Drosophila melanogaster: one gene and its partner. The protein of the gene in region 2 purifies or fractionates together with the protein of the main gene of each other region. This does not show direct contact. Each region holds a gene or a part of one and is shown on either strand. Other genes may lie near its edges.

Region 1 (3,658 bases), 4.4 Mb from region 2:
GATAAGATTCCTTGCGTCCTGACCCAGTAGTAGAGTCTAGTTTGTGTGCCCCCTTATTCGAATTCAATTTTTATGTATATTATTTTCAGGCCGAGAGATCAATGCGCTTTCCCATGCGGTACAACAAGATCAAGAGGCTGCATTAGATATATGTTCTTGCCAGATTATTTACCCGCAATCGTGTACAAATGTAAGTTTTAGTTACGTATTATTAGGAAGCTTGCAATAGAAAGAATGCTTTAGCTTAAGCTTATCGATGTATGAATCAATATTTCTTTAGAGTAGTAAACCAGTATTATCTAAGCTCGATTTTCCTAAGCATGAAGCCGTTTTTTAGTTTTTCTTTCACTTCACTTTTTTAACTTTTTACGACGCTTTTAGTTGCTTATGAAATTTTCACATTTTTATTAATTTCTATTTCTTTTGAACATTTTTGATTTATTTTACTTTACCTACGAATAGATTTATTTCGTATTCTTATTATTTCTATGATTTCCTAAAAATTTAACACTATACCTCCTTTGATTTAGAACAAAAATAGACAAATGACTTTTTGATTGACGAAGCGCGTGTTTTGGAAATCCTCATGAGCTGATAGTACTAAATTCAAGTACCTGATCTCGTCTGTACAAAAGTATAAACATAAGAACTCTTCGGACATAAGACAAAGTTCAAGATAAATTAAGGATAAAGTGTATATATACGTATGTATTTACCAGAGTGCAAGCTAGTGTCTATTTACAATCATTTTAAGATATAATGTTTTTTTCGTAAGTATAACGTGTAGTTCTTAAGGAATAAAACGGAACCATGCAATTACTTAATGTGTTTTAATGAAAGTAAGTCGGCGATTCTCCCAATGCTACTCCGAGTCGCTGCTGCCTGACTTGTGCTCCTCCTCTTTCTTCTCTTCAGTCTTGTAGTGGCGATATTCTTTCTTGAGCTCCCACATGTTCTTGTGCGGGTTCTTCATATTGTAATCGCAGACATCCTTGAGAATCTCCTTCAGGTAGCTAATCGGCTGGTTGGTGATCTTGACCAGATCCTTGATGTTATAGTATTGATGCTTCTCGAATGCGTGGAAGAGCATATCCATCACGGCATTCTTGTCGTCGCGCGCCTTCTTGCCCTCGGCCTTCTTTCGCTCCCGATATTCAATCTGCAGGAATGGAGGAGTTATATATACATATATATTACCAAAACAGAGTGTATTATTGTTCTCACGTTGTGTGCGTGGTCTTTTACAGGCTTAAAGTTCTGCACGATTTTGTCGATAGGCTGCACACGTCGCTGTGGTTCCGATGCCTTGCGTATGGACTCCAGCTTTAGTTTCATGTAGCAGTTGTCGGCGATGGGTCGGCACTCTAGCTTTTGCACAATCCTGCCCTCCATATACAACTTTTCGTTATCCGGCTGTGCCGCCGAGGTAGTCGAGTTCTCCTTGCCATCGGACGGTGCCATGTGCGAGAATACGCCGAGCGTCTGCTTGGTGACCTGCGACACGTCCAGGATGTGCTCGGTGGGTATTTTCTCCTCGGGATCTAGAGCCAAAACGGCGGGCGTGAGGGAAAGCGAGACCTGGGCCTTTTGGCCAGGTGTCTTGTTTATCCGGAGCTTGCCCACGTCCATGTTCGTCGGCGCCTTCTCCCATTTCTGGGCAATGTACTTGGGCACCTTCACCAGCCATACGCCTCGCCCAGCATTGGACAGGTCCAGGTCCTTGTCGATGATCTGTGTCTTTTCCTTATCCTCCTTCGACATTCTGTTTGCTTTAAATTATTAAAAACGAATTTGCAAAGCCACTTGTACCGTTTTCGGCTTTGCTTGTTGTTGTTGTTTTGCCGTAAATTTAGTGCGGTCGAATAAACAGTTTCGAAAAAATGCTAGTTTAGTATATCACGGTATTTTTCTTTCGGTATTTATTCGTTATGTTATTATTAGGCGCCAAGTTTGAAAAAGTCCGAAGTGCAGATAACGAAATAGAACTATTTACATATCTGAATTTTATATAGTTAGCAAGAACTTTAGAACATAAGAAATAACTTTTATAATGAAATGTCTTAGAAAGAATATGATATCTTAATTTTGATTTATTCAGCAAATTTTATGACTAAATTTAGAACACAACATTGTATTGATTTAAGATGAATTTATGAATTGATGTGACACCTTATCCAGCATTATCCACCCCATTGCCCTATTAAATTGTTTTTCTAATATTTTTATTGTTTTTTCATTCTTTTTAAATTAGGTTGACAGCATGGTGATTGTGTAGAATCTATTCCTCCTCCTCTTCCTCGTCCTCCTCCTCCTCCGCATCGAGATCCTCCTCGTAGCTATTACCACCAGTGGGGGTAACATTAGAGCCGAGCTCGATGATCGGTTCCTGTTCCTCAACGGGCGTGACGGGCTCTTCGACCACAGGCTCGCTGGTCTCGTTCTCGTTCTTCTGGATGGCCTGCAGTTCCTGGGCGGCAAGCTCGGATTCCTGGCGGGCGATCTCGGCCAGCTCGGCGGCCTGGCGAGCAAGTTCTCCCTCACTCTCCTTCTCGATCTCCGCCAGGCGCTCCAGCTCCTGCTCACGGACACGCTGCTCCTCCTCCAGGCGAGCCTCTTCAGCGACACGAGCCTCTTCGGCGGCCTTTTGGGCAGCTTCTTCGGCGGCACGAGCCTCCTCTACAGCCTTCAGTGCGGCTTCTTCGGCGGCCTTTTGGGCAGCTTCTTCAGCCAGACGAGCCTCTTCGGCTGCCTTTAAAGCGGCTTCTTCGGCAGCCTTTTGGGCAGCTTCCTCGGCGGCCTTTTGGGCGGCTGCCTCCTCTGCTAGGCGAGCTTCCTCAGCAGCTTTTTGGGCAGCTTCCTCGGCGACCTTTTGGGCGGCAGCCTCCTCCGCTAGACGCGCTTCTTCGGCAGCTTTCTGGGCAGCATCTTCAGCGGCTTTTAGGGCTTTAGCTTCTTCGGCTGCTTTTTGGGCGGCAGCTTCAGCCAGGAGAGCCTCTTCGGCAGCGATTTTGGCGGCCTCCTCGGCAGCCTTTTTGGCCTTAGCAGCAGCCTGCTTTTCGGCCTCAGCCGTCAGGCGATCCCTCTCCTCCTTGAGAGCCCTTCGGAAACATCAAAAATTTAATAGGAAATGAGCTATGAGCTGGTGTAGGTAGTGAGCACCCACCTCTCTTCCCTACGCTTGGCTTCATCGGCTTTCTGGGCACGCTTCTTTTCCAAGTCCACCTCGTCGAGAGCCTCTTCGTTAACGGTTAGAAGACGCTCCTGGCGCAGACGCTGTTTCTCCTTGGCCTCCACATCGAGGGGATCCTCCAGGGGCCTAGGGGCAGAAAATTTTCTAGATGGACGGTTAGGATCCAACTCGGCATCTGAAATGTAATGCTTGTCAGAAGAGCCTTCACCACAGTGCCTATGCATTTGTATCTTATTTTTCATTTTACATTAAATATCCTTCACTTTGTTGTTCACTCGGCTAATGTCATTATACATTATACTTATACTTACAATACTTACTCTTAGGATCGGCGATTGTTGGTTTTCTTATAGACGAGGCAAGGAAAATTGCAGATACAGTAGACGCCAATGTTTTAGAGTATTGTGTGGCATTAATGGGAGTTTTTAAAAAGTTCTGGGTATGAAGAATTGAACCAAAATGTGGTTA
Region 2 (4,535 bases):
GCCCTGATCGTCCTCGGATCCGGCGTCATCCGCCATGGCCGCTTGACCGGACTTGTTGGGACTGGCCCACATGGGCTCCGGCTTAATAAGCAGCTGCGTCTTGTTTTTACGCTGCAGCTCCTCCTGGTGGTTGTAGCGAATGTGATTGAGGATCTTTGAGGTGCTGGTCTTGGTGCGATCGCAGAGTGTGCACTTGAGGTACGACCGGTAGGGCAGATGCTTGAAGCAGTGCTTCTGCAGTTGTGAGCGCACGGTCGTTGGTTGCACCTCACGGCACTGCAGGCACATGGCCTTGCGCCCGGACTCCAGGATCTTAAAACTGTTCTCGATTATGTGCTCGAAGTCGTGCTTCTTGAATACGTGTGCCCGCCAACCGTCCATCGAGGCGATTTCCTTGCCGCACTTCGGACACAAGTACGATATGAGCTTCGTGAGGCCGTTGGTGGACATTTCCGTGTCTGAGTCGCGGCTGGGCGTCGTAGAGATGCGTCGACGCTTAGTCGGTTGACTTATTGGGTCCGACTTCATTTCCTTCTTCAGCTGGGCCACTTCCTCCTTGCCGAGTGCATCGATCTCGATGATGACCACCTCCTGATTTCCTTGCTGCAGGTGCGCATCGTCTTGCTGCTGCTCCTCATTAGCTTCTCCTTTGCCGGCGGAGGGGCCATCATCAAAAAACTCCTTGCAGAGCGCATCCAACTCGTCGTCATACTTCGGCACCACCTCTTTCTCCTCCTTGCGCACGATGTCCTCGTAGGCATTCAAACACCGATCTAGATTCAGCTCGCTGACATTTGAAATGGGCTTAGGTTCGTTTACAGGAGCCGCTAGTGCTGTCACTGGGGACTTTTCCATTTCTGTGTTCAGATCAATGTCCATCAGCGCCTTTTGCAGCAGATCATTTTGCTTTCTGTTCGTGGAACCTTTGGGACGCCCACGCGGCTTCACAGCCATCGGCTTCTCTGCATTTCCAGCTGGTGCGGCCGCTGTAGTGGGTTTCGCCTGCTGCCGCTTCATCTGGCGCAGCTTGTTCTCGTACTTCTCGATCTCCCGCATGTGCGTGTCCAGTAGGTGGACGTTCAGAGCCCGGCGCCTCGTGTACGCCATGCGGCAGTGCACGCAGCGGTAGGTTTCACTGTGCTCCAGATGCATAAAGTAGTGGTACTGCAGGAGGGCGATTGTCTTGTGGGCATTCTCCACCCATTTGAAGCACAGCTGGCACTCATGGAATCGCTCGTCGATCTGGATGAAGTTGAAATCTGAGTACGTCTTCTTTAGATAGTCGTGTTTCTGTGGGCACATTTCAAACCATTATTAAAGCAGAACTTGATTTGCACAAAACCCGCAACTTGCCGTGTTCAGATGCTGTCGCCACTCCGCCTGAGTGCGGAACGCCTTGCCGCATTCCGGACATATGTAAACCATGTGCGCCTCCAGACGCGCATTAAGCCGACTTTGTTCATCCGAGAGCGTCACGTTCCGCGACATTTTCCCTAACATTTAAGCGACAAACTGCAAATGAAATCCAAACAAACTAGACAGCGCTTTGTGAATTTATCGTTATTTGCTATGGCGACAATCGTTTATCTAAAAAGAGGTAATCGATAACCGTGACTGTGAACGGATATCGGCTGTCACTTTATTTTGATAGAACATTACAAAACTTTGAAGTTTTTAAATACCTTGTAGGGCTTGAATATGCAATCTTATAATATCTACTTTTCCAATTTGTTTATCAAAATCTCTTGGAATAAATATTATTTTTCTGCCCAAACGATACGATACACTTGCTTCCAAAGAATAACTGCACTTCTGTTATCGGACATCGCTAGAAAATCCAACTTTTCTGCCCGCGCCGCGAATTGTAAGAGTTTGGGGAAAAGTATAAAATATCCAGATAGAAGCAACATATGATTAGCAAACATTAAGCCATGTCGAGCGCGTCAAAGTCGACGGTAAGTCTTTACCCTGCCGCTTCCGGCGCCAACACTTATTTGCGGTCTTCGCTTGATTTCATGCAGCCGAGCGCTGCCAGCGGGAGCTCCACGTCCGCAGCTGCCGCCGCCGCAGCCTCTGTCGCCTCAGGATCCGCCTCGTCATCCGCCAACGTGCAGGAGTTCAAGATCCGCGTGCCCAAGATGCCCAAGAAGCACCATGTGATGCGGTTCAACGCCACGCTCAATGTGGATTTCGCGCAGTGGAGAAATGTGAAACTGGAGCGGGAAAACAACATGAAGGAGTTCCGGGGCATGGAGGAGGATCAGCCCAAGTTTGGTGCTGGATCGGAGTACAACCGGGATCAGCGCGAGGAGGCGCGCCGCAAGAAGTTTGGCATTATAGCGAGAAAGTACCGTCCAGAGGCACAGCCATGGATCCTTAAAGTGGGTGGCAAGACTGGAAAGAAGTTCAAAGGCATCCGCGAGGGCGGCGTAGGCGAGAATGCAGCTTTCTATGTGTTCACCCATGCACCAGACGGCGCCATTGAGGCATACCCCTTGACCGAGTGGTACAACTTCCAGCCTATTCAGCGCTACAAATCGCTGTCGGCGGAGGAGGCCGAACAGGAATTTGGTCGGCGCAAAAAGGTGATGAACTACTTCTCCCTTATGTTGCGAAAGCGTCTGCGCGGCGATGAGGAAGAGGAGCAGGATCCGGAGGAGGCTAAGCTAATTAAGGCAGCCACCAAAAAATCCAAGGAGCTCAAGATCACTGACATGGATGAATGGATTGATTCCGAGGATGAGTCGGATTCGGAGGACGAGGAGGATAAAAAGAAGAAGGAGCAGGAAGACAGCGACGATGGCAAGGCCAAGGGAAAGGGCAAGAAGGGCGCAGACAAGAAAAAGAAAAAGAGGGATGTTGATGACGAGGCCTTCGAGGAGTCGGACGATGGTGACGAGGAGGGCAGAGAAATGGACTACGACACCAGCTCCAGTGAAGAGTATGTGCCCCAAACGATTCTGATAATGGCAATACAATTTGGACCACATCTACTAATTTCTTATACCCTATTCTAGCGAACCAGATCCAGAGGCAAAGGTGGACAAGGACATGAAAGGCGTGGCCGAGGAAGATGCGCTCCGCAAGCTGCTTACCTCCGATGAAGAGGAGGATGATGAGAAGAAGTCTGATGAGTCGGACAAGGAGGATGCCGACGGCGAGAAAAAAAAGAAGGATAAGGGCAAGGACGAGGTATCCAAGGACAAAAAGAAGAAGAAACCCACAAAGGACGACAAGAAGGGCAAGTCGAATGGCAGCGGTGACTCGTCCACAGACTTCAGCTCTGACAGCACAGACTCCGAGGACGACCTTAGCAACGGACCGCCCAAGAAGAAGGTCGTCGTCAAGGACAAAGACAAGGAAAAGGAAAAGGAGAAAGAGAGCGCTGCGAGCAGCAAGGTCATCGCCAGCAGCAGCAATGCCAATAAATCTCGCTCGGCCACTCCAACGCTCTCGACGGATGCCAGCAAGCGCAAGATGAACAGCTTACCCAGCGATCTCACCGCTTCGGACACAAGCAACAGTCCCACCAGCACGCCAGCAAAGAGGCCTAAGAACGAGATTAGCACATCGCTGCCCACTTCCTTCTCTGGCGGCAAAGTAGAGTGAGTAAAGCCGTGATATACTGGAATTCCTAATTCTAATTTCATGTATTTTGTTTAGGGACTACGGCATCACCGAGGAGGCGGTGCGTCGGTATCTTAAGCGAAAGCCCCTGACCGCCACCGAGTTGCTCACCAAGTTCAAGAACAAGAAGACGCCTGTCTCCAGCGACCGTTTGGTCGAGACCATGACGAAAATCCTGAAGAAGATCAATCCCGTCAAGCACACCATCCAGGGGAAAATGTATCTCTGGATCAAGTAGCCCGCAGTCATGTGATTTTAATGTTTCATAACTCAAATGCATTATTGTTCAACACAAAATATAAACGCACCACTGAAAATCGGTTAATTTTCTTGGTTAATTCGAAAAGGCAAGTAGTATTTTGCACAGAAACTGATTTTAACCAATTCATTGTATTTGTACTTCTAGAATCTTAAAAACTAGTTATTAATGCTATATCTTAGTATTATATTTCTATATGGTTTCAGGTTCTGAAGTTGAGAATTCTAAATTCTGTACAATGATCTGAAACAGTTGCTGAGAATACTGGATTTTAATATTTTTAAAATTTTAGTCGATAGCTATCGAAATATGGGAGTAATCGATGTACGAAAACATCGCCGTCAGGAAGCCAGCAGCAGCTATACATCGATTTAGTTCCAGCTCTAGCCCTGTATATGTGTCTGTGTTCGGGTGGGATGTAAATTCTAATATCCGATAATTAGAAAAGTGAACCAAACCCAAAGCGTTCTTATCGCGACTGTCATGCTCTTTTCGCAGCCACTGCGCTGTCCCCGCTGAACCACGACCACCAACTAAAGGAACCCGAGGAGTCCGAGCCCCAAAAGGGAGCAAAACAAAGTACAACGCAATACCAGTGCGATGGCGACGAGTGAGGAGGCGAGCGAGTGCTGAAAAAATAGGATTGGAT

What was found.
Region 1: the proteins of TfIIFalpha (region 2) and TfIIFbeta purify together in Drosophila melanogaster (affinity purification with western blotting; 2 studies listed by BioGRID, with this or other methods). This does not show direct contact.

What each region holds. Positions count from the first base shown.
Region 1 is NT_033777.3:10,765,939-10,769,596, forward strand, and holds TfIIFbeta (transcription factor TFIIFbeta), read right to left. Parts: upstream 1,867-3,658; 5' UTR 1,762-1,866; coding exon 1,225-1,761; intron 1,160-1,224; coding exon 863-1,159; 3' UTR 684-862; downstream 1-683. Other genes in the region: CG45076 (uncharacterized protein), read right to left, coding at 2,279-3,098, 3,164-3,365. UniProt on the Drosophila melanogaster protein: TFIIF is a general transcription initiation factor that binds to RNA polymerase II and helps to recruit it to the initiation complex in collaboration with TFIIB.
Region 2 is NT_033777.3:6,378,665-6,383,199, forward strand, and holds TfIIFalpha (transcription factor IIFalpha), read left to right. Parts: upstream 1-1,802; 5' UTR 1,803-1,931; coding exon 1,932-1,955; intron 1,956-2,021; coding exon 2,022-2,941; intron 2,942-3,017; coding exon 3,018-3,605; intron 3,606-3,663; coding exon 3,664-3,865; 3' UTR 3,866-3,940; downstream 3,941-4,535. Other genes in the region: CG1024 (uncharacterized protein), read right to left, coding at 1-1,290, 1,354-1,500. UniProt on the Drosophila melanogaster protein: TFIIF is a general transcription initiation factor that binds to RNA polymerase II and helps to recruit it to the initiation complex in collaboration with TFIIB. It promotes transcription elongation.